Saccharomyces cerevisiae S288C: one gene and its partners. The protein of the gene in region 3 interacts with the protein of the main gene of each other region in a biochemical or structural test. Each region holds a gene or a part of one and is shown on either strand. Other genes may lie near its edges. The genes, in order: ORM1, LDB19 and NPR1.

The links.
Region 1: of the proteins of NPR1 (region 3) and ORM1, one has a biochemical effect on the other in vitro, tested with the Saccharomyces cerevisiae proteins (one study listed by BioGRID).
Region 2: of the proteins of NPR1 (region 3) and LDB19, one has a biochemical effect on the other in vitro, tested with the Saccharomyces cerevisiae proteins (one study listed by BioGRID).

Annotation. Positions count from the first base shown.
Region 1 is NC_001139.9:557,645-562,774, forward strand, and holds ORM1 (sphingolipid homeostasis protein ORM1), read left to right. Parts: upstream 1-3,037; coding exon 3,038-3,706; downstream 3,707-5,130. Other genes in the region: YGR035W-A (uncharacterized protein), read left to right, coding at 1-142; CAX4 (dolichyldiphosphatase), read right to left, coding at 505-1,224; long-chain fatty acid transporter ACB1, read right to left, coding at 2,087-2,350. UniProt on the Saccharomyces cerevisiae protein: Component of the SPOTS complex that acts as a negative regulator of sphingolipid synthesis. Acts by inhibiting serine palmitoyltransferases (LCB1 and LCB2) activity.
Region 2 is NC_001147.6:917,141-924,193, forward strand, and holds LDB19 (Ldb19p), read right to left. Parts: upstream 3,923-7,053; coding exon 1,466-3,922; downstream 1-1,465. Other genes in the region: dolichyl-phosphate-mannose-protein mannosyltransferase PMT3, read left to right, coding at 1-1,151; PRO2 (glutamate-5-semialdehyde dehydrogenase), read right to left, coding at 4,395-5,765; FRT1 (Frt1p), read right to left, coding at 6,092-7,053. UniProt on the Saccharomyces cerevisiae protein: May be involved in protein-linked oligosaccharide phosphorylation since the deletion reduces the negative charge of the cell surface.
Region 3 is NC_001146.8:290,316-297,088, reverse strand, and holds NPR1 (serine/threonine protein kinase NPR1), read left to right. Parts: upstream 1-1,579; coding exon 1,580-3,952; downstream 3,953-6,773. Other genes in the region: chromatin-binding/pre-rRNA-processing protein IPI3, read left to right, coding at 1-1,129; YNL184C (uncharacterized protein), read left to right, coding at 4,206-4,532; mitochondrial 54S ribosomal protein uL11m MRPL19, read left to right, coding at 4,420-4,896; ubiquitin-specific protease UBP10, read right to left, coding at 5,213-6,773. UniProt on the Saccharomyces cerevisiae protein: Nutrient-regulated protein kinase that promotes the activity of at least 6 distinct transport systems for nitrogenous nutrients under conditions of nitrogen catabolite derepression.

The DNA of each region.
Region 1 (5,130 bases), on a different chromosome or scaffold from region 3:
TCTAAGTGTGGGTGACATGCTAAATCCGCGGCTTTCCTTAAGCTTTTTCACAAACCATCTATTATGTCCAGAAGCTCCGCTGATTATCCGTGGAAAAGGGTCTTATTCTGCCGTAGGAAACTTCTTCTCGAGAAAAAAGTGAGTTCACCCGCGGCGCTCTCGTAAAACCCGAGGGCCGATTCTTTCCCTCCGTGGAACAATCGGCCCCGCGGCGTCAGAGGGTATTATCTCCGCAAGTGATAGAACTCACATTTATTCTACGTTCTGCATGGTTTTGATTATCTTCTTTTGCACGATGTCACATACTTTTTCGATTACCGTCGCTTTACACAGTAACTGTTTAAAACGAGCGTTCTTAATTAATAACTGTAGGAGAGCAGGCTTTCGGCTTTCTTTATGAGAAATAAGGACTACTCCAGCTTGCCAAGTTTTATCCAGTTACACAAACGCTCAAGATCGCCTCGCTAAAATAGATGAAAAAATAAGAAAAATGAAATGTTCAACCTAATCCCTTTTGGATTTATCATTGAAAGATCGCTGATTTATTCTTTTCCAATACGCCTCGTAATTCTCTTTCAATGTCAAAGGCGCCAGATTGTAAGAATCTGTCATGTAAAATAATCTGACAATACGTAGTTTTAAAAACCAATTGATTAAACCAAGCTCTCTTATGATGCCAACTATAAAAAAATAAAGTGATCCAGTCAGTGCCCCCACGCTGAATCCCACGATTACTTGATCTAAATTGTGGTAGTGCAAGTAAACTCTGGAAAAGCAAACGCAAAACGATAATAAAGCCAATGCACCAGAAAAAATGCATTTTTCTAAGAAGTTTAGATTCTTCCAGGAAGTGTATATCTTCAGAGAGTTATAGGTAAAACAAAACCCCATGAATTGGGAGTGTGCACTGGGCATCCCGTAACCGGATCTTATAGTGTCATTTTGGAACGACGCACCGAACGATACGGGGCGTGGCTGTTTTATTATATTCTTGATCACGTTATTGAATATTTCGTTCATCAATTGGCCAAAGGCTACAATGCAGGCTTCTAACTCTCTTGTGATGATAAACCACGACAAATAAAAAGCTAGCACTAGGATGGGCATCAGCGAGAAATATGCACTAAGGAATGATAGAAAGTCATGCGAATCATAGAGAATGTATGTGTCATCGAATGGTATAACATTTGGATTTGGATTTATTGCAGCGGCGGTACTATTCATGATATGATCCGATTCAAAACAAATTTTGATGTAGATAAAATGCCTGGTATAATGAGTGGTAGAGAAGAAAATTAGACGAAAAGAATGAGAACGAAGAAATGATTTAAAGTGATCACAGTGGCAATCACTTTCCCCTTTTTAACGCGTGTTGAGCAATCGATTGATGTCTCTACCATATGTAGCATTTTCTCAGAAGGCAAACTTTTCTTTTTCTTTCTACTTTTCCAACAAGAAATTTTAAGTTTTCCCAGAAACCCGAATTCTCCTATTTCATCCACCACGTAAGAACGGTTTTCTTCCTGGCGTAATTAAAAGCATAAAGAAAAACTGAACAAGCTCTAGATGTAGATCAGGGTATACATGGTGCGCTTCAGTAAGTGTACTGTACCACTAGTTTGGCGTCTGTCACTTGAATTGCGGATTTGTGTAGAGCAATGAAAGCGCTGCTTCTGCCGCCATCAAAAAAAACTGAGTAGTTATTAAAGCCTATGTATGACAATATAAAAATGTATACAGATCAGTCTGTATATAAATCATGAAAATATCTTTAAAAATTTCAAGAGCGTGTTTCCGCTAAACCTTGTCATATTCAACACAAATCAGTATCATTCTCGGCGTAAATTACATGCGAATCTCCCTAATTGTGATTCAATATTCCAGCGAACCCCGAGAATTTAAATAGAACAGAGTATATGCATTTATTAACAGTTATTACGCCTTGTCCCCAGGGAGAGTAGTAAGGGATATGGGCATTTATAAATGTACATAAGTCACGTTTTTGCAGCCAATAAAATATAATAATAGAATAGTAACAAGGAAAGCTAGGCCAAAACTCCTTACATGGAGCTAGTATACCCCTTTTCTAAGAGGAGTACTTGGCAATCAGTTGATCAACAAGGGCAATGTATTCCTTTTCGGCATCTTCCTGGGATTTACCTTTTAAGTTTTCCCAGGCTTCCCACTTGTAGCGGTCCTTCATGTTGAAAATACCAGGCTTTTCCTTGTCGTTGTCACCTACAGTGGCTTGCTTGTACAGAGCATACAATTCTAATAATTCATCAGTGGAGGGCTTCGTTGGTAGCTCGTTGACGGCTTTAGCTTTTTCTTCGAATAATTGGGAAACCATTTTGCTGAAAACACTAGTTTAACTAATTTTAGAGTTTTAGTCTTCCTTCTTTTGCTTCACACAGTGAAATGATGTACATAACGTACTTGCTTCCGAGACAGACCAATTGATCCAAGCTAGCTATATATATGGCGGTCATTGGGGAGTTGGCCTGGAGCTGTTGAGTTTGCGGACGTGTCAGAGAGCGCGTAGGGCCGCCAGCGCCACCTGTCTTCAGGCACCAAGGCCGTAATCTCTTCCGACGGTCATTTTTTAATGGAATGTTTCAATACGAGAGTTTGTGGCATGTAGTTTAGGAACGGATTATAGAGAATAGTCGAAATATGTTTAGTCCCTACACAAATTGCTAGACTACCTGTTTCGAGTTTCCTCTATTCCTTTGCTAACGGAGCTGCGGTATATAAACCATCGTAGACTCAAAGCCGTTACCCGACAACTATCGGGTATAGTGAAATGCCTATGTTTTCACTTTAAGACCTTAGAAAACTATCATGAGATCTCGCCTTCAGATGCAGATATTTCAGTGGATTCACGAAACAAGAAAAATTCACTGATCGATAACATCTTCCTTTGCTTGATATTCCCTTTTTGAATTTCCCTAACTACCTTTTGTTGTTTACCACATATTCTCTAAAAAGCAGAGTTATTCTTATTTTGTATTTCATTGCATTTTTATCCATTTAGTTAATGACCGAATTAGATTATCAAGGAACTGCTGAGGCGGCTTCTACCTCGTATAGTCGAAATCAAACGGACCTTAAGCCGTTTCCTTCTGCAGGCAGTGCATCTTCATCAATTAAAACGACGGAACCTGTGAAAGATCATAGAAGAAGGCGTTCTTCCAGCATAATTTCACATGTGGAACCGGAGACTTTTGAAGATGAAAATGACCAGCAACTTCTACCAAATATGAATGCTACTTGGGTAGACCAACGCGGCGCTTGGATTATTCATGTGGTCATTATCATACTGCTGAAACTATTTTATAATTTATTTCCTGGTGTTACCACAGAATGGTCGTGGACTCTGACTAATATGACATATGTTATTGGGTCCTATGTCATGTTCCATCTGATTAAGGGTACCCCTTTCGATTTCAATGGTGGTGCTTATGACAACTTGACGATGTGGGAACAAATTGACGACGAGACTTTATATACTCCTTCAAGAAAATTTTTGATTAGTGTCCCGATCGCCCTATTCTTAGTTAGTACTCATTATGCTCACTATGATTTGAAATTGTTTTCATGGAATTGTTTTTTGACAACCTTTGGTGCTGTTGTCCCAAAGTTACCTGTTACTCATAGATTAAGGATTTCTATCCCAGGTATCACAGGTCGCGCCCAAATTAGTTGAACATAGTTTATTTCAATCTTGTATCTAGATGTTTTTGCTATATTTATATTTTCTGGGCCAAATCACTAACGCTTTGAAATTTCAAAAGCCAACAACGGATTTCGGACTTCATTTATGTAAATGAAAAAGAATGTGAACAAAAATTGAAAAAATTCCATATTAATGCACCTTCTAAACCTATTTGTTGAAATTGTATTTAATTCATATAATCATATTCTATTCAAAAAGAATAACAGATAGTATTAGCACTATTTCACGTACTGCTTCTAATACTATTATCACAAAATAGACATCGGAAAACTCAAAAATAACGACAACTGCAGGACTCGAACCTGCGCGGGCAAAGCCCAAAAGATTTCTAATCTTTCGCCTTAACCACTCGGCCAAGTTGCCAATGTATACATTGCTGTTTCCTGGTTTGAAGAAGCTAATCGTGCACGTAAACAACAATCTATACTACAAGTAAAAAAATGGGGAAAAAGATGCTGAAGGTGAGATATATGTGGGTAATTAGATAATTGTTGGGATTCCATTGTTGATAAAGGCTATAATATTAGGTATACAGAATATACTAGAAGTTCTCCTCGAGGATTTAGGAATCCATAAAAGGGAATCTGCAATTCTACACAATTCTATAAATATTATTATCATCGTTTTATATGTTAATATTCATTGATCCTATTACATTATCAATCCTTGCGTTTCAGCTTCCACTAATTTAGATGACTATTTCTCATCATTTGCGTCATCTTCTAACACCGTATATGATAATATACTAGTAATGTAAATACTAGTTAGTAGATGATAGTTGATTTCTATTCCAACATACCACCCATAATGTAATAGATCTAATGAATCCATTTGTTAGTTAATAGTTTAAATGTTTTTATCGGAAGAGGTTTTGTCATCACATCAGCAATGTTCTTCTTGGTCTCGATGTAGTATACGTATAGATTATTACCTGATACTTCATCTCTAAGTCTCATTGCCTTTGTGCCAAAAAATCTGTTTCTAAATTTCTCTTCATTTGTAGACTTAATTATACTGATCGTTGATCTACTATCAGTAAGTAAGCCTTTAATAATTGGTTTCTTGTTAAGTTCTTGCACAAGGTGACTGAGGTTATTCAATAGCGGAATAGCTTCACTGACTGCGTGTATTTCTGCTTCTGTAGTTGAAGTGCATGTTAACGAAGCCTTTGTCGACTTTCCTCCAATCACTTTTCCGTTGAGTAGGAAAATGTTACCAATTTGTGACTTGTAATATGGTTGGTTACCATATGAAGCATCGCTTATTGCGACTAGTTTATTATCTGGCTCGGTAGGTTTGTTTTTGTGCCATATCAGTTGTTTATCTCTAGTGTCCCACATGAATTGTATTAACTCATATGTCATGTCTAAAACTTGCCTAGAGGGGAATAGTAT
Region 2 (7,053 bases), on a different chromosome or scaffold from region 3:
CTGTCTATGGTTACAGTGATGCTAACAATGAATGGTTTTTTCAAAGAATCAGAGGAGTAGAGCCTTGGACTGATGCTGAGAACAAGACAATTGAGTTTGTAAAGGGTGGCGAAATGTATAGATTAATGCATCGCCTAACAGGCAAGAATCTACACACCCATGAAGTCCCAGCGCCTATATCGAAAAGTGAATATGAAGTTTCTGCTTACGGAGATGTAGACTTAGGTGACTACAAAGATAACTGGATTATAGAAATCGTGGAACAAGTAGGGGAAGAAGATCCAACACTACTACACCCGCTATCCACATCTTTCCGTATTAAAAATTCTATACTGGGTTGCTATTTAGCTCAGTCAGGTAAACATTTACCAGAATGGGGTTTCAGGCAAGGTGAAGTTGTCTGTTTAAAACACGCCTCCAAAAGGGATAAGAGAACCTGGTGGAATATCGAAACACATGAAAATGAAAGATTGCCACAGGGAGAAGATTTCGTATATCCGAAGACTTCATTCTTCAGGAATTTCATGCAGTTAAATTCAGCAATGATGGCAACCAATAATGCTTTGGTACCAAACCCTGAAAAGTTTGATGGTATAGCTTCATCTGCCTGGCAATGGCCAACCTTGAACGTCGGGGTAAGATTATGCGAATGGAGTGAAAAATCTATAAAGTACTTCTTATTAGGATCTCCTGCGTCCGTCTGGCCCTCAAGCATCGCAGTTTGCGCACTGATAATACACGTTATATTCTTAACTCTGAAATGGCAGAGACAATGTGTTATCCTATCCGATCCAGTCGAACGTGACGTGTTCGTTATGGCAGCCTTTTATCCATTGCTTGCTTGGCTTTTACATTATATGCCATTCGTAGTGATGTCAAGAGTTGTATACGCTCACCACTATCTGCCCACCCTTTATTTTGCCTTAATGATCTTGTCATACTACTTCGATATGATTACCAAACGTTGGGCTACAAGAAACACTGGAAAATTTCTAAGGCTAGGAGCTTATATTGTATACGGATCAATCGTGATCGCTGGATTTTTTTATTTCTCTCCTTTTAGTTTTGGGATGGATGGTCCAGTAGATGATTACGCGTACTTGGCATGGCTACCTACGTGGCAGATTGTTGAAGATATACGTAACACATAGATATATAGAATGATCAAAAACTTTTCTTCACCACACAAAAAATGTTAATTGATGCGCGAAATATCTTTTTCGACTTATGCCTTCTTCTTTATCATAACAAAGCTATGTACCTACGACGAAATGAAGATATTAATCCAGTCCAGCCTTAAGAAAATACGAGAAAAAAAATGCTCAAGTGTTAAACAATGCCTGTATGTAGTTATCTGTGAAATGCATCAAATCATGGTCAGGGTTTGCTTATTGATCAGATTTGTAGTTTTCAGGTATCTAAGATAAAAATATATGGTAAATACCTTTAACGAATATTATAAAATCTACTGGGTTATTCTATTGGAATCTAGAAAATCGGAAAAGTTTTGTATTCTGATATCTCTTGTGCTATGTGGTGTCAACACATGTCCACGAAAAGGTACACTACCCTGGACACTAACAACACTTTCCAGTGGTGGTGACTGTACTGTGGTAAGGGATCTTTGCGAAGAGGAAGCAGGCTGGTAGTGATGTGCGGTTGGTGGTATCGTTAATTTATTTTGTGTGATCGTTACTTCCTGTACGTTAGGACCAGGTTCGAGCCCTTGGCTCTCATAGTTCCCAATATCTTCATCGCTGCCGCCCACAAAATCATCCTCTGATCTAACAGGAGTACTCATTGTTGAATAAAGTTTATTTTTGATTCCATTATTTATAGAGAGCTCGTAACATGGTGGCGAGAGCAACTCGACATCTTGGTAAATGGGAGGAACTTCTTCGTCCCAGGAGATTCCAAGTCCAGATCTTTCAGTGACTGTTAATCTGAATTGCATTCTTAAAACACGTGCTGCACCAGTGGGAACACTCACTATATTAGAGTTACTAGCACCGTTAGATGCCTTCTCCTTATTAGTACTATGGTTGGACTTATTACTATTCACCGGTGTTATATCTTCAGGCCCCATGCGCCGTACTTTCGGTGTATTTCTATTTGCAAAAATTGGAGATAATTCAGCTAAGCGTTGATCAGGATTATGAACATTCATCGTATTGTTATTAGTTTCTTTCTTGTTTTTGGAGTTTGGTTTCCGTATAGGTTGCCCATTGGCATATTGCAATGTTTCTTCTGCAACAACTATTTCCACTGCCAAGATGTGGCTTACATACAAACCTAAATTTGGATCCTGTATATCGCAAGCCACATTGATGCTGGGCTTCTTATTGCCCGTGGAAGGAGTTTGTAGTGTCGATGCATGCATTACCGGATTAGAGACGCCTGAATTAAGTCCCATACAATCTATTTCTGTAACTAGCTCAATCTTTCCATTATTGTCAAAATCGGTTTTCCATCCACTCTTCATTTCTCCCTTAGATATTATCCGAACCTCTTCCGTAAATAAACTACTGTTGTTTTTTAGCTCTTGTTGAAGTTGTTGTTGTCTTGCGCGTTGTTGCTGCATTAGTAACTCCTGACGCAAAGCGTCGTCACTGGGATGGATGAATTCGCTACCGGGTTGGTCTTCCTCATCTTCATTAACAGGATTTTCATCATCAAGTCCAACATTACCAGTTGACGCTGGACCCGAAGAATTAGGTGCTTGTTCACGACCGGGCTCGCCTGGAAGCCTTTGCGACGGCATATTTTCTAAAGAGTTTACTGCAACCCGGATTTGTGGGCCTAGTTCACCATAACGCTTAATATGACTGCGTGGCTTTTTACTTTTTTCTGACTCTTTTATTTTAACCTGCTCTTCTAACTGCCTCAATTCATGCTTGTGCACTGGACAAGCATGTGCTTTAACTCTTGTAGTTTCTTCAATTCTCCAACTCAATTTACGCATTCGCCATCTCCTATCCCCCGAAGAAACACCGTCTAATTTCATCTCCAAAGGAAAAGTAGATTTAGGATATACAACATTAGGAAGAACAGCAGCAGCAGTTAACTCTGTAGGAGGAAATACTCTTAGAGAATTCTTATCAGGCCCGCGCGGTATACTTCGAGTCACGGCGATGGGCATCGCTAGTTGCAACAACCGCTTCTTAGAAGAGCTTCCTTCTTTCCTGGGAGTAGAATGACCGGAAGAAAAGGAATTTCTATGAGGATCTATATACGTCACAACAGCGATAAGTTCGTATTTGACCTGGGTTTCAGCCGTAGCACCTAGCGATGAAGAACATGGGACAGACCCCGGTATAAGATAGGAAAATGGGTAAGAGTGGCTTCCAACAGAAAGATCCTGGGTATTACTCTGAATTTCCCAGCTTTTCATGTTTGTAATCTTTGTTTTACAGTTCATACAGGTTTGCATTGAGGAAATATTAGGCACAAAGGGTTTATGGAAATGGATCTTCTGTACCAAACTTAGTGTTACCGACGTAATGGTGATCTTGGTATAACCAGCCATTATTCTTAAATTAGCAGGCGTGGGAGAATGCGATATGGATGTAGAAGATGTTGAAGGAGAGATATTTGACGTCGACGCTGACAAGCTGGACAATCTAGATGAAAGTGCAGAACCAAATGTACTCTTTCTTTTTAGGCTTTTAGAAGTAGTCGACACATTAGATTCTGTATTCTTTAAAGATTTATCTTCAGCACTACTGTAGGGATCGACAACCGTCACAGTAAAAAGTCCACTTAGCACAGCACCTGAGGATTCCATAGCAGACCCATAAAGAACACATGGCGGTGATTCTACATCAATAGAAAGGGTTAGTGGAAGACTTTGTCCTTTTTTGTTGCTATTACTGTAGCCGTTATGATTGGACTGATGAGTAGATGTAAGACGTGAAAATGCCATGGTAAAACGTATTGTTTAGTGAAATGTATACTAAGTAGGAGTAAAAATCAGCAATTTCTGGTGTTGAAATGTGAACAACAGCGTTCTCCTCCGAAAAAGCAAGCTATAACGTTGCTCAACTTTTGATTCCGAAATCAGAAGCTTAAATAAGGAAAACTGAAAGCTAATTGGATGAAGCACACAAACTTAATCAACCTTATTATTCAAAGTATTCGGAGCCCTAGTAAAAACTGCCTATGATATGTATGAGTCGTGCTTTTCCGTCTGGTTTAATAAGTGTTCGAGTCAGCTCAAATCGCATTTTTGTCTTGAAGCTTCCGCCAAAAGAAAAAAAAAGTCGTTAATAGCGATACAAGTAAGCAATTAACTATCACACCATAGAATGAGTTGACAAGAGTACTTATTTGATGGCTTTACTGAACTATGTATACACGTCCTTCATACATGGAACTTAGCTTTATCCTAAAAATTTTTATAATGTCACAGTCTTTATATCTAAATCCTTGTGAACAAAAGCTTTGTTACCACCAGCACCAAGGTAGTCACTAGCAACCTGGCCGTCACCTCTTATTTGGTATTGATAACTCACCAGACCGTCCAAGCCAACTGGACCACGGGCGTGAATCTTAGAGGTAGAAATACCCACTTCAGCACCAAAACCGTACCTGAAACCATCGGCAAATCTAGTTGATGCATTCCAGTAAACACCAGAGGAGTCGACACCCTTCATAAATTTTTCAGCGTTTGCTTTATTTTCCGTTACAATAGCGTCGGTATGTCTCGAAGAGTGTGTATTTATATGTTGAATGGCCGATTCTGTAGATGTAACAAACTTGGCAGCCAAATCCAAGGATAAAAATTCCTTATCAAAATCTTGCTCCTCATCAGCATCAACGGTTTTGCATTGAATTGCTTCTGTCAATTTCCCTAACTCATTCAGTTTATCAAAATACGCAGTTTTCAAATCTTTTGTAGCGTGGATAGTCACTCCGCCTTCCAAAGTTAAGTTTTCCAGAACTTCCCACCACTTAGAGAATTTTGGGTTAATCAACAACGTTTCCATAGCGTTGCAACCAGCTGGGTAGTTAGTCTTTGCATCCAAACTAATTCTTTTTGCCTTAATCAAATCTGCGTCTTCATCCAAGTAAATTGAGCAGATACCATCCGCATGACCCAACACGGGAATTTTTGTAGTGTCCTTGATTTTTCTGACTAAGGCATTGGAACCACGAGGAACAACTAAGTCGATGTACTCATCTTGATCCAACAAGTCGGAAACATCCTGTCTGGTTTCGATCAATTGCACAGAGCCCACAGGAACACCAGTCTCACTTTGGAATTGTGCAATGGTGTCGTTAACGATCTTTGCCATTTCTCTGAACGTGTTCACAGACTCTTTACCACCCTTCAAAATTGCAGCATTACCAGACTTGATACTCAATGCGGTAATATTGGCAATAACTTCTGGACGGGATTCAAAGATAACTAACAAAACGCCGACTGGAGCGGTTACTTGGTACAACGTCAAGCCATCATCTAATTCCCTGGCCATTTTAACCTTGCCAACAGGGTCTTCTAGTTCGGCTACATCCTTAATACCTTGTAACATAACTTCAAATTTGTCCCCTTTAAATAGGTCGAGACGTTTCAATAAAGAATCCGCTAGGCCAGTCTCTTTGGCAACAGCTAAATCGATTTTATTCGCTTCTTCAATGGCATGCGCATTAGCCTTCAGGGCATCGTGAATTTTGTATAAAATATCTGATCTGCCCTCGTTTGAGATGGTTTTCAAAATATTCCCTGCTTTACGGGCATTTTTGGCTATTTGTTGTGAACTGGACATCTTTATATTGGTTGCCTGTGCTCCTTTTTGTTCTTACTCTTTTTACCAATACGCTTTTACTTTTTCTCTTCTTTTCTTGAAGCTTTTTGAAAAACGTCTGTCGACTTTTTTCATTTTTTGACTCATTGACCCAACGCCACAAATGAACAAAGAAATTTGGCCACTGCATCGCCTTTCCTGCCCCATTGATTCAAATGTCCATGCGCGTTGATTGATGTGTGATATATATATATATATATATGTATATAGATGTATATTATTATGTTCAGAGGTGATTTTATCTTTGTACGCGTACCATTTTTGTAAAGTGACCTTGTTTTGACTTTTTAACGAGTAAAAAAACGAGTTAACAAATTCTTGACGTAAACGATAAAGCCGCCCATCAAAAGAAATGCAATAATGTCAATGATGAAATACCTATACAGGTAGATGGATTTCGTGTTGTTCTTCGATTTATTTAACACGTTTTTCAGCTCTATCAAACTATCCATTTCCCTTAGAGAGGACTTTTGTTTATTTAATCTCTCTTGGCAAACCTCCATTCTCCTTTCCAATCCTTGTAATTGCGCTACACTTTCTTCGACTGATATCTTTAATTCATTAATAAACGCCTTATTGTCATCCTCGTCAAAGTCTGATTTCAACTTGACCAAGAATTGATTAATCACCGTGGTTCGCAAGGTGGTCATTTCGTCTAATAAAAGGGTTAACTCTCCTGATAGAAGATCATACTTTTGGATAGTTTTTTGAACGTTGTTTTCATTCTTGATTATTGTATCGTTTAAATTTCTTCTCATCTCATTCTCGATCTTCACTAGAAGTGTCGAAATATGATTTTGATAATAATTCAATTCATCAATGTTATCATTCAAATTTGAGTTGCTCTTCGAAATAGAGTTTGAGCTAGAATCAGGAGTGGCTGCGGAGCCATTATTATTGTTCACCTTCAGTACACTCTTGAACCTAGTGGAAGAATCCGCTGACTTCTGCCTATTCAGTAAATACTTAAATCCCAAGGTATCGGTGCCAGGTGCAGTGGAAGAGCCTGATGAATTCCTTGGTTTCCTCTGGTTAGTCAAATATCCTAAAGAGGGATATACACCGTTTAAACTTCTTCTATCCACATCTTCTGAATCTGATGAGGTGGATGACGTGGACGAAAAGGCTGATGACGACAAAAATGCTGGTACATTAGAACGGGAATACAGAAATGACGAAGAATCGTTGACAGCAGAACCGTCCAAATCATGATAAAACAAAGATGTGCTGGGGGAGGAGTTTACGGAAA
Region 3 (6,773 bases):
GCCTTTATGTATCCTTCACGATCATACTCTACCCGTGACAGATTTCCAAGTTTCTTCTAGTCAAGGAAAATTTTTATCATGTACTGATACGAAACTCTTCACAGTATCTCAAGATGCTACCATTAGATGCTATGATTTGAGTTTAATAGGCAGCAAAAAGAAGCAGAAGGCAAACGAAAATGACGTTAGTATTGGTAAGACCCCAGTATTGCTTGCGACATTTACAACTCCTTATTCTATCAAATCCATTGTACTGGATCCTGCTGACAGAGCATGCTATATTGGTACTGCGGAAGGTTGTTTTTCATTGAATTTATTTTATAAACTAAAGGGTAATGCTATCGTTAATCTGCTACAGTCCGCCGGAGTAAACACAGTTCAAAAAGGTAGGGTTTTTTCCCTAGTGCAACGTAACTCACTAACTGGCGGCGAAAATGAAGATTTGGATGCACTATATGCAATGGGCCAACTTGTCTGTGAGAATGTCCTAAATTCAAATGTGTCATGCCTAGAAATATCAATGGATGGTACATTATTATTGATCGGTGATACGGAGGGGAAAGTTTCTATTGCGGAAATTTACTCAAAACAAATCATTAGAACTATCCAAACTTTAACTACATCACAGGATTCAGTTGGAGAAGTGACCAATCTCTTAACCAACCCTTACAGACTCGAACGTGGAAATTTACTTTTTGAAGGAGAATCCAAAGGCAAACAACCTAGTAATAATAATGGTCACAATTTTATGAAGATACCAAACTTACAAAGAGTTATCTTTGATGGTAAAAACAAAGGCCATTTACACGATATTTGGTATCAGATAGGAGAACCAGAAGCAGAGACAGATCCTAACCTCGCATTACCACTTAACGACTTTAATGCCTATTTGGAGCAGGTCAAAACGCAAGAATCGATATTTTCACATATCGGTAAGGTGTCAAGCAATGTAAAAGTGATTGACAATAAAATCGACGCCACTTCATCTTTAGACAGCAATGCCGCTAAAGATGAGGAAATTACAGAACTTAAGACCAACATAGAAGCATTAACTCATGCCTACAAGGAGTTACGTGACATGCACGAAAAGCTGTACGAGGAACACCAACAGATGCTTGACAAGCAATAAACGGAATAGTCGCGCATTTTGTACAATAAAATAGGAATGTTATTAAAATATACAGCATAGATAGATATAATTCATCACTTGTGCGAAACATCTCATTCTCAATCTGACTGATCATCTATTACGGAATTTTTTCGTTATCAATGACGCATCCCACAATTCCTACCCTTATAGCTTATCTCAGAATATGGGCCGCCTTTAGTTGTATAGAGTTAGTACGGATTAGTCAGTGGCGTACCTAGTGGCAACAATCGGCAGTGACTAAAAATCTTGCTTTTGTTATTGAAAGAATAATAAACAGGAGTTCTCGTTCCTTTGCGTCATTTTCAACCCCATACAAACTAGTTGGCTTGTACCAGAACTCATTAATACTTTTGTCTAACTCTTTCCTATTTCTGATTTTCCAACAGCTCATACCCATTCAAACAAAAAAGGAAAGCTCTACGAAACATTATGTCTTCATTAACTCGATTGCTACAGGAAAAACGAAAAAATGAAACTTCGAACTCATCACCGAGAACTTCTGCTGATACGTTGACCACGACGCCCGAGTCACAATCGCTTGACCTTCACTCTAGGAATAAGAGTAGTAGTCATATTGGTAGCGTGAGTAATAGCAGCAGTAGTGATCGTAATAGGGCTAACGTGCCAGTTCCTGGCAGTGTCACAACTGTTACTCAAATATACTCAGAGGAAGATTCATCATCAACAGCCGGTTCCTCTCTCGACGATAGGAATCAGTTTTCCTCCAGCTTCCTTAATGCAAACTTTGCTCACACTGCATCATTCTACGGCACAAGTGCACAAAGTAGAGATAGATTTGGATCCTTAATAAACGATCAAGGTACTGCAGGACTTTCCTCACATGGTGGTTCTTTTGCTGCACAGAACAGAATCACAAGTAGATTATCTACCACGTCACATACTTCAGGAAGGGCCATTCCTTCTTTATCATCAAGTATACCTTACTCCGTGCCAAATTCTAACAAAGATAACAATAGCTCGAATAGCAACAGCTCCTCTTTGTCTTCTTCGTGGCTCGAAACATATGCAGGCGGTATGCCCAATAATATTTCTGCAATCGATTCAAATGTTATATCCTCCCCAAAAGTAGATAGCGTGGAACCACGTTTTGTTATCTCCAAACAAAAACTCCAAAAAGCATCGATGGATAGTAATAATGCAAATGCCACTCAATCAAGATCTATATCCCGTTCAGGTTCATTCTCTTCACAGCTTGGGAATTTTTTCTTTTCCAAAAACTCAAAAGAATCTTCAAATTCTAACTCTGCAGGCATGTCTTTTTCTGCCAATTCCAATGGTCCTTCTCCAAACATTAAGAATCCCAATGTTACCAATGGTTCGACGCCTATCCCGAAGCCTATCCGCGCAAGACAAAGCAGCATATATTCTGCATCAAGACAGCCAACTGGTTCCTATACTGATAACTTTTACGGTTCCCCCTCATCTGTACATGACCACTTACCTCCAAGTCAAAGTGTTCCAAGGTCACAACATTCTTCCATCGGTGATTTAAAGAGGTTCTTCAAAAAAAGTTCTAACAGTAACCTTTCCTCGAATAGTAACAACGTGATCCCGAACGGATCACCTCTTTCTAGCGGAATTGCCGTTCCGTCACACTCTCATTCATCGTCTCATTTTGCCGCAGGGAATAACTCATATTCCACTAGTTATAACGGAAATGGAGATACTATTTATTCTCATAGTCACGGCGGTTCAGGAATTCCGTTCTCAAAAAGGTACATCAAAACCGGTGCCGATTTAGGCGCTGGAGCAGGAGGTTCTGTCAAATTAGCTCAAAGAATTTCAGATAACAAAATATTTGCAGTGAAGGAGTTTAGAACTAAATTTGAAAATGAATCCAAAAGAGATTATGTCAAGAAAATTACATCAGAATACTGTATTGGTACAACTTTGAATCATCCCAATATCATTGAAACAATTGAAATCGTGTATGAAAATGATAGAATTCTCCAAGTTATGGAATATTGTGAATACGATTTATTTGCTATTGTAATGAGTAATAAAATGTCCTATGAAGAGATTTGTTGTTGCTTCAAACAAATACTTACTGGTGTACAATATTTGCATAGTATCGGCTTAGCTCATAGAGATCTAAAGCTAGATAATTGTGTTATAAACGAAAAAGGTATTGTAAAATTAATCGATTTTGGTGCTGCTGTGGTATTTTCATATCCATTCTCAAAAAATCTTGTGGAAGCAAGTGGAATTGTTGGAAGTGATCCATATTTAGCACCTGAAGTCTGTATATTTGCGAAGTATGACCCACGTCCCGTAGATATTTGGTCTTCTGCAATCATTTTTGCATGTATGATACTGAAGAAATTTCCATGGAAAATTCCGAAATTAAGGGACAATTCATTCAAACTATTTTGTTCCGGACGTGATTGCGACTCCTTAAGTAGCTTGGTTACAAGAACTCCTGATCCACCTTCCTACGATGAATCGCACTCAACAGAAAAGAAAAAACCCGAAAGCTCTTCCAATAATGTATCAGATCCTAATAATGTTAATATCGGGCCACAAAGATTGTTGCACTCATTACCAGAAGAGACTCAGCATATTGTTGGACGTATGATTGATTTGGCGCCCGCATGCAGAGGAAATATCGAAGAAATCATGGAAGATCCTTGGATCCGTAGCATTGATATGTGCCACTTGGTTGAAGATGGATTATCGTTCAAAGTGGTTAGAGGAGAAGACCATCATCACACACAAGTGGATCAAAGTGAAGCACATATTGCAGGCCTAGAAAAGAAAAAGAAAAAGCAAAATAATCAATAAATAAGCGTCCCCACTTTTATTTCTTTTCCAAGCATTTGTATATAACCTTTTTTTATCCTATTTGAGTATATGTTAAAATACAATGTCATATTTACTTCTGTTAAACTAATTTCATATTTTACCGTTCTATAGAAGCCTAAATAGATTGACCTCCTGTTCATAATCTACTATTTTATCAGAAAAATGTAAAAGCTTAGTATGATAATAATTAATGGAAAAGTTCGTTAAAATATCGCGCCACTAATTAATAATAATGAAGCGGGTAACATTAATTGTCTTACCAAGGCGACAATTCCCTTTTCTAAAATTTCACAGCAAAGAAGCTTTAGAAAGTGCAGTAAATCTACAACTCATAAGAAGGAAAAAAAGCGTGAACATTCAAATCGACAGCGTAACCTTCTGTATTTATTTCTGTTTGTTGTACTTTCGAACTCTCGAATACCATAGAGGAACTATTAGTCTCCATAATGTCACAGGCAGCAAAAAACGTGATAGTAAAGCTAATAGTAGGAGCAGGCCAAGCGGCACCATCACCTCCCGTGGGGCCCGCATTGGGCTCCAAGGGTATAAAAGCCATTGACTTTTGTAAGGAATTTAATGCAAGATCAGCAAACTATCAGCCAGGTGTACCGGTTCCAGTATTAATCACAATAAAACCTGATAGAACATTTACGTTTGAAATGAAATCTCCACCAACCGGATATTTGCTGCTAAAAGCTCTTAAAATGGACAAGGGACATGGACAACCGAATGTGGGGACAATGTTAGGCAGTGCACCTGCCAAGGGACCAACCCGTGCTTTAGGAGAGTTATCGCTGAAGCACGTTTACGAAATAGCCAAGATAAAAAAGAGTGATGAAAGGCATAGTTTATTGGAGATGGAAGGTATTGTTAAATCAATAGTTGGCGTTGCAAAAAGTATGGGTATTAAGGTTGTACCTTGATCTGTAAGTAGTGAAAAGACAAAAAAGTACCGTCAATTTCGAGAAATTTTCAACAGACCTTCCTTCTTCTTTCTACTGATCTATTCTGTAAATATGTATATAAGTTTTAAATTCTCTTTCTCCCGTTATGTTAGCAAAGCTCGGTAGTACTGAAGCTATTCTGAGTAAACGCTTCTCCAACTCTGTATACTGAGAGTTGTTTTATAAGTCAATAAAGACCGGATATTTATATGTATATATTGATTTGGTATAATAAAAATGAAATGCTAATAAAAATGCCTATGAAAAGAGGAAAATCCAGGAATATCGAGTTTTTTCATTTGGTGAACTTCCTTTTTTTATTTTTTTTCCATTTTTTTCTGTTATTTTTCTTGCTATTAATCTTCAATGGGCGGTTATTTGGTTCGTTAACAGCCTGTTCCTGTTTGGATTTAGAGGTAACATTACCAGTGGCCATGGCAGATTTCGCCAATGGCAATGGAACCGATTTTGGAGTTAGCCTCGTGTATAGGAGATAATATGCGTTGGGTTCCTTTAAAACGTCCCTTTCAGATATTATATTAATATACTCGTCGTCGTAAGTGGCCCAGCTACCGTCTGGTTGCTTGCAGTGGGCAATGTAGTGACCTGAAGAAAGGGAGCGGCCCTCATGAACCACCACGCTTAATAGTTGGTATTTGACAGGTAGCTCTTTACTCTCACAATATTCCGTCAAATCTAAAAACATAGGATAAGAAACAGCTTGCTTCATTTTTGATGAGGACGTGCCATTGAATCTGAATTTTTTCAGATGCACAAGTAAAGTTTCAGGAGCCCTTAATATTGAACTATGCTTCACGGCGTTCGTGGTCTTGTGACACTTCTCACAAACGTAACCCTTTTGCTCCTTGTCAACCTTGATTAATTCGGGATTGAAGAAATCTTTAATTGATTTTTCAATAGAAAATCTGCGGTTGGCTGAACTTAAATCACTGGCAGCGGCAAATGGTGAGCCATTGTTTAAATTGACAGATGAAGAGGATGAAAGAGATGGTTTTGTGGCAGCATTGGAGGTAGTGGTAGAAGTGGTGGCTGAAGTGCCGTTAATGCTATCACTCGACAGGTCAGAATTTGGATCAAGTTTTTTCTTCCCTTTCAAGTGCAACGATAAATCGTAAAATGGTTGTTCTGTTTTAGATATACTGCCACAAGATTTGCAAGTAACGATCTGCTTTAAAAGACCACCGAATATGTCATATATTATCGATTCTATAAGTTTATGACCCTTGGGAACAGAATCTTCCTGTAATCTTGACATCAGAGACATGAAGTACTCATGTGAATCTTCCTGCTGCCATTCGCTCATCATACAATTAATGTCATCCAATCTGGAAATCAAATGTTTTGGATTAATGTAGGAAGCTGAAACGTTCTTTCTAGGGTTTTTTGAGACCGGTAACCACATTTTTTTACTTGTTTCAGCTAAAGTATAGGAAACGGAATTTTTTGAGATGGTGCTATCGTATTTCCCCATTAGTATATCAAAAAGATAATGTTGTATCGAAGGAATGTGTAACATAGCCTGTACAGCAGCATTTGTGTAACAAGTAACACCATGATTCAAAAGGCCACGAGGCTTCAAATTGGTGAATTTGTCGCCCCAATTTTTAACAATTCTAGTAGAGTTTAAAGAACCACGATCATTGATATTTTCATTGAATTGGTAAAAGTTTGATAGATTTGATATTGTAACCGGAGGGGTGATTGACCTAGATTTATGTTTCAGCTCTTCTTCCTCTTCTTCCTCCTCCTCTCCCTTTGGATTCCTGTTTCCATTTTCTTTGGTGTTGTTTACTGGTTCGTACCGATTTACTTCCACTGTACTATTTTCCATTAAA